Caenorhabditis elegans: one gene and its partner. The protein of the gene in region 1 interacts with the protein of each later gene in a pairwise test. Each region holds a gene or a part of one and is shown on either strand. Other genes may lie near its edges.

Region 1 (3,476 bases):
CAATCAGAGTATCTCTGAGCTGATTGCTGATGCTTGTCGGAGCTCCTTGCTCGCCGAGCTTGAAGATCGATTCGACGACGGACAGTTCGGTAGAAGTGGAGTCGAGTCCACAAAATGCGACCCAATCGTTGACGACCATACCGGCTCCGATGAGCTCGGATCCTCGGTTGCATGTTCCGGCGACGACTGGGATTTGAAGGAGAGCGGCGATTTCTCGTTGGGTCTCTGGTGGAGTACGGGCGGCCACGAGGCAACCGTTAGAGCTGAGAATGCAGTAGCTGCCGACGAGCGAGTTTTGGGCGAGACTGACACGGAATACTTCCACTTTGAGCACTTCGACGAGCGCCTGAAAGAGAAAATTTAGGAATTTTTGTAGTTTGTAGTGTGAACATTGTTAATTTCAGTATGTTAAGCCAAGCATTTGAATCAAAAATTAATAAGAAAGTTATGAAAATTGTCCGTTTCCGACTAAAGTTTGGGTCTTTTTCGAACTTTTGAACAAAAAATAAATATCATTTTCAGAACAATCGAACATTTTTCGACGATTCTTTACTAACTTTCGATTAAAAAAGTGGGAATATCACACTGAAAGTCGCAGTTCTGTAGGATTTCTCCTTACCTGCTCAGTTTCTGCGCTAATTTCTGCGTGAACAATAGCGACGTGGTCGTTACAAGCGATAACATTTCCCAAAGCGGAAAGACGCTCGTCAACTCTGCGAATTGCGACCTGAAAATTCAAATTTTAAATATTTATTCTCAATTTCCTGCCCGCATACCTCATCTGGAAGCGAGTTTCTCAAGTGTTGAAGCTCCTGATCAGTCGTGGCGTTTGGTACGAGAAGTCCGTGACGATTTCCGACTGTAAGTCTTCCGACAATTCTGGTCGAGGCGATCGACGTGTGCACGACTGGGATGAGATCGCTGAGCTCGGCCTCCAAAATACTGTAAAAGTTCTGAGTGCCACCGACGCCGACGAGGCAGTAGCTGTTGGTGAGGGTGCAGAACACACCGACATCGTTCGATCCTTCGTAATCGACGCGGAGAGCCATTTTCAACCGGGAAACTGGAATTTTTTTTGAAAATTAATTGATTTAATATCGAGAAAATAGTAAAAATTGATTGGAAAAACGAGAAAGAATGGGTGTTAGCAAGACAAATACAAACTACAAATGGGCGGAGCTTCGAAATGTTGTGCAATATTGAATAACAGGGAATTTTCATTTTCTATAGGCAGTTTTATATGAAATTACTTAAAAATGAACGAAAAATTCAATTTTTGAATTTTAAAACTCAAAAAGTCAATGAAAAACTTAAGATTAAAAGTTTTAGGCAGAGATTTTCAATTGAAAAATAAAATAAAATTAACGGAAATTTTTTGGTGCAAACACGCTCCACGGAACTCTACAAATTTGCGTTATTTCGGAGTGTCGTTGCGATGACTTTGAAAAATCTTTTTGTCAGCATTCCAACATTTTTCGAAGTTTTCCACCATTTTTCCTGCTTTTCTAGCGTATTTTTGATTAAAAATTTGTAGAAATTAAGTGGAAGTTCGCTATTGAATAGGTTATCTGCAGAAAATCACTTGTGAGACAGCAGAAATCAGGGAAATCGAAGTTTTTCGTTAATCAGTTTTTTCTAGATGGTTTTCCGTATTTTTCCTGTCATTTTTATTGTTTTTTTTTCTCAAAATGTTTTGTGAGATCTTTTCAAATACAACATTAATTCCAGAATGGCCACCGCTGACGTCAAATCCACCGTCCCACACATGGACATGGACCGTGGAGGCGCGTTCGACTTCTCCAACTGCATTCGTAATCAGGCAATGTGCAAGATGGGCGGAAAGGCTCCAAAGCTCACCAGTACCGGAACCACCATCGTCGCCGTTGCCTTCAAGGGCGGACTTGTGATGGGAGCTGATTCCCGTGCCACCGCCGGAAATATCATCGCCGATAAGCATTGCGAGAAGGTTCACAAGCTCACTGAGTCGATCTATGCCTGCGGAGCCGGAACCGCCGCCGATCTCGATCAAGTCACAAAGATGCTCTCTGGAAATCTCCGTCTTCTGGAATTAAACACCGGGCGCAAGGCTCGTGTGATCACCGCTCTTCGTCAAGCTAAGCAGCATCTTTTCAACTATCAAGGATACATCGGAGCCTACTTGCTCATTGGAGGAGTCGATCCAACTGGCCCACATCTTTATATGTGCTCCGCCAACGGAACTACAATGGCCTTCCCATTCACAGCTCAAGGATCTGGATCATATGCAGCTATCACTATTTTGGAGCGTGATTTTAAGGTTGATATGACGGTAAGTAGTCTATTTTTGAATTCCAATGCGCTAAAAATACTATAATTATATTTTTCAGAAAGATGAAGCCGAGAAGCTTGTCCAACGCGCCCTGGAAGCCGGTATGCACGGTGACAACGCCTCAGGAAACAGTTTGAATCTTGTGATCATCGAGCCAAGCGAGACCGTCTTCAAGGGGCCAATTGTGCCAGAATTCTGCAAGCGACCAGAGCCCAACGACCTCGTCTACAAATTCCAGGCCGGAGCCACCAAGGTGCTGAAACACAAGACCTACAAGTACGACGTCGTCGAGTCCATGGATATCACTCACTAAATTGCGGTCTTCTGTCGATGTGTGTATTCTTTCCCCCAATTATTTATTTTTTTTCGATTTTCCATCCGTTTCGGTGTCGTCGGTGATTACTTTTTTCGGTATTTTCGTATCCGCCGGCAGTTCTTATCACATTTGTTTTATAAATTCCGAATATAAACTGTCTATTTTCCTTAAAACTGGTATTGTTTGTTGTCTTAATTTGGACTGAAAGCCGGAAAAATGACTTGAAAAACGCTTTCAAGTGTTTTTCCCAATAGTAAAAGTTACTCTCCGGGTTTTAAAAGGAAAAAACTGCGAAATGAATAGATTTTCCAGATCTGAATTGAAAACTTTCTGCGAAAAACTAATTTCCACCTGAATTCTTCTCAAAAGTCAAGAGAGAAGAGTCAAAACTCACAAGAAAAAAATAATCCGATTTGAATTGCCGCGCAGAGAGTTAGATGTGCAGGTCATATAGCAAACACGCTCCACCCACCAATCATTGGCGCGAAACATTTTTTTGTATCTTGTTCTGACTCATTTCCCTGCCTTCCCCGTCGTAATCAGTGTCGTTTTTCCGAAAAATTCCAAATTTTATCATTATTTTATCAGTTTTCCATAGTTTACCCTCATTCGGCCGTGTTCCGGCCCTTTCAAAAATGTTTGTTTTCACGTAAAATCGAATTTTGAAGACGTGAAGCTTCTTCAAGTTGAAATTCAACATTTTCAAATCATTTTGCGATTTCACAAGACGGTTTTCTGCTGCATCTTCCTTGATTAATCTCCGAAAGCACGTATGTTTCAAAATGACTCAAAGTAATCCCATTGGGAATTGCGAAATTCCCATTGTTATTCTCTGGGTCTCTTACAACGGGG
Region 2 (3,507 bases), 4.3 Mb from region 1:
GATGGATAGTAAAAACCGTAATTAAGCACTTCCTTTGCGCGGCGAGATATATATATATATATACTGTATGCTTACCACGTCTGAATTTTTCGATTTCGAAACGTATTGAGACTGCGTATGAAAGATTTCAACTACTTGCTCCTTTCGAAATTCTTCCCAATTTTTCAGTTGTTTCTGAGCATCCTTCCTGGAAACCAAATCAGATAAGTTATTACATATACATCAATTTATTTAATTACTTGTGAGTTTCATACTGATCATCACTCAGTTTATACCGCTGCTGCATCTTCTTTTTGTAGCTCATCTTCTTCGCCTGTTTCTTTTCATAATCAGATTTCTGTTTATCAGGCGATGGTGATAAACTGAGCTTTTGGAGTTTACCTGAAAGCGCTCGATTTTACTTTAAACCAAAAACTCATCATACTTTTTAAACCAGAGAAATTCATGCTCGCTATTTTTGACTCGAGCACTTGTGAAATGATGCGTGTGAATACTTAGACGTGAATAGAAGGATTAAATGGAAGTTTATTTATCGACTTCACGCGAAAATAAATAAAATTTACACCGAAAACGTGGGTTGGAGAGAGTAAAATGTTTTGAAAAGAAGGATACAAATAAGTTAAACATGGAGATACTGAAACGCATCCTGCACACCGGGGAAAACTTATTCATATTGACAGTTAGTCTCGGCAATCGACCAGTCACCAATAATCTTCTCTTCTTTACCCAAAACGACACCTTCTGTCGCATCAACACGTCCGATTTCGAACTCATTGTCAGCGACGCAGTCGTGGTAGAGAGTAAGTTCAAGCGATTTGCGAAGCACGGCTTCTGCCTCTTCACGGGAGAGGTCTTCTCCCTTCTTTCTCCACTCATCTTCAACAGCTTGGTTGAGGAGGAACGCTCCAAGTCCAGTTGCAATGTGCTTCACTTGATATGCGCATCCCTGAAATTTAGAATAATTATTATGTGATTATTTAATCATGAGATTCTGATCCGGCAAGTTAACGCTTTCAAGTTTACCTTCTGAGTAATGACACCGATGAAAGGTGTGCTAGTCTCCTTGTTGTTCTTCTCCTCCTCTTCGACTCCGGCGACAACAAGTGTGTTCCACACTGGGTTCATCTTGCAACGTCTGAAATTTTTTACTTAAACTTTCAATTTAATTAGGAAAACAGACTTGGCGTAGAGAAGGCTTGTGAGGTATCCGTGGAGAGCTTTTGGTCCAATATCCTGATCGAAGCGCTTCCAGAGAAGAACCTGACGCTCGATCACATTTTGAAGCCAGTGGAAGTCAGCGTGATCTCCTCCGAAGGCAATGAGAACATTATCATTGACCTTGTATTGACGAGAAACATTCTGGAAACAAATATTATGAAAATCCACTTTCAGCTGAACGGAAATTCAAACCTTGTAACGAGCCATTTTTCCATAGGAAACAACTCGATCAGTAAGGACAACAACCCCAGTTTTATACTGGAGAGCGATAACCGATGTTCCGGTACAAGTAGGATTCCTGAAAAATTGAGTTAATTCAAACGAATATAGGTTTAATGACTTACAGTGTGCGCTGGACTTCGTCGTGAGCATTCATTTTGGTTCTGAAACAATATAAATGAAGTTTTTGAAGGGAGTGCTTTGAAAAAATGAAAGGAAGTGAATTTCGACAATGAAATGCAAAAATGGCGGCTAAGTCATCATAAAGCATGTGCGCTCCGTCGAATTTTACACTGAATACCACGCACAATTGCGTACTTCAATAAGAAAAATTATCTCGCGCTACTTTTTTTGAGATAATATTATAATATAAATTAATTCATATTTTATAAATATATTAATTCATATTTTATTCTTTTGAATTCTCACTGAAATTGTGAAACTATTTAAAATATAAATTGTTTCAGAAAAATGACCTCGGAGCTTAAAAATAACGAAGAAGACTACAACTCATCGTCCGATGAAGATTACGATCCAACAAAGGATACCGATTTTGATCCAAAGGATGAAGTAAGCATTCCTAGATATCGCCCTTTTATTGCTCATTCTCCTCAACAGATCGATGATCAAGAAGAATGCGAAGATGGAATTGACGAAGAAGTTGAACATCTGAAAAATGAAAAACAAAGTGACGACCATACATCAGAAAAGGCAAACAGTACTGAAGGAAGTGTTGATGTGGATGCGATATTTGCAGAATTAACTGGGCTAGCACCGAAACCAGTTGTCAACGATACATCAAGCAAGAATATTCCAAAAACTGAAGAAAGGGTGTATCCAAAATCAGCAGCGTATGTTTGAAACAAGTAGAAATAACTTTTAAAAATGTATTTTACAGATCTGCATCCAACGAGTCTACAAATCAGAAGGTTTATCCGAAAAAGTGAGTTGACATGAGTTTTTATTTGATACAAATTTAAAAACAACTTTTTCTTATTTTTCTAATAATTTTTTTCAGAACGGAAACAGCTGGAACATCGTCTGAAAGTAGCATTGTACCCGGAAAGAAAAGAGTCGGCTTGCTTGATGCTGCAAAATCACTGTCGAAGCGTTCTAAAATTTCTGTTTTGGAGAAATCTGATCGAGATTGGAAAGATTTTACGACGCAAAATAATTTAAAAGTATGTTTCTTTAAGTTTAAGGTTTTTGAATAAATTGTTTGTTTTTCAGGAAGATTTGGAATCTCATAACCGAGGGAAAGGCGGTTATCTGAACAAAATGGACTTCTTAAACCGAGCTGATAATCGCCAGTTTGAAAAAGAACGAGCGTTCCGTGCAACAGCTCGTAAGGACACTGGACAGTAAATAATTCTTTATTTTTTCAATTGAATCTTTTTTGTGATTTTCTGGTTTCTTTGACAATTCGTAACTTTGAAAAATTCATAAACCTTCTGTAAAGATACGGACATTGAAATTTAATCATGAACATATTTAATGGACAAAAACGAGAAAAATGGTAAAGGGAGACAATAACTAAATCTAGAAAAAGGATGAATCATGAAAAGGGAATTGTAGAAAAATCACATTCTAAAATAATTAAAATGAAATACAACAACTTTGGGAAAAGGTAGGTTACAGTTTTATAATACGAACTCGTTTGTTTTTAAGGACTTTTTGTGGAATTTTTGCGAATTGTTTCAGAACAAAAAAAAATCTGCTACTTGTTTTTAAAACTGGGATTCATGAGGAAAAATAGATAATGGAAAATAAGGAAAAATTAAGATTTGCTGGGCTTGAGGGGAACATGATGAAGACATGAAGTAGAGAGCACATAGTGGGATGTGGAGAGAGAAAGAGCTAGAAGGAAGCGAGAATTGTTTTTCTGATCATTGTGTTAATTTTACAAAAAAATGGATAGGAGATTGTGTTGATTCGATGATGACTTATGATGTTGATGATGGTAACGGCAAACAGAGAAAGAAAAGAACAGGAAAAAAGCGGATAAAGCATGAATTTTGAAGCACACAGAACAATTGAAAGAACAAGATATACTGGAAGATAGAAAGCTAA

The links.
Region 2: the proteins of pbs-2 (region 1) and pbs-7 interact in a two-hybrid assay, tested with the Caenorhabditis elegans proteins (2 studies listed by BioGRID).

What each region holds. Positions count from the first base shown.
Region 1 is NC_003279.8:12,966,533-12,970,008, reverse strand, and holds pbs-2 (Proteasome subunit beta), read left to right. Parts: upstream 1-1,728; 5' UTR 1,729-1,729; coding exon 1,730-2,308; intron 2,309-2,366; coding exon 2,367-2,621; 3' UTR 2,622-2,793; downstream 2,794-3,476. Other genes in the region: eif-6 (Eukaryotic translation initiation factor 6), read right to left, coding at 1-346, 620-727, 777-1,049.
Region 2 is NC_003279.8:8,694,699-8,698,205, forward strand, and holds pbs-7 (Proteasome subunit beta), read right to left. Parts: upstream 1,604-3,507; 5' UTR 1,595-1,603; coding exon 1,563-1,594; intron 1,517-1,562; coding exon 1,411-1,516; intron 1,360-1,410; coding exon 1,181-1,359; intron 1,136-1,180; coding exon 1,024-1,135; intron 947-1,023; coding exon 665-946; 3' UTR 507-664; downstream 1-506. Other genes in the region: K07A12.5 (Pre-mRNA-splicing factor SYF2), read right to left, coding at 76-187, 240-381, 425-446; F39H11.1 (Craniofacial development protein 1), read left to right, coding at 1,909-2,007, 2,056-2,288, 2,336-2,380, 2,456-2,618, 2,668-2,802.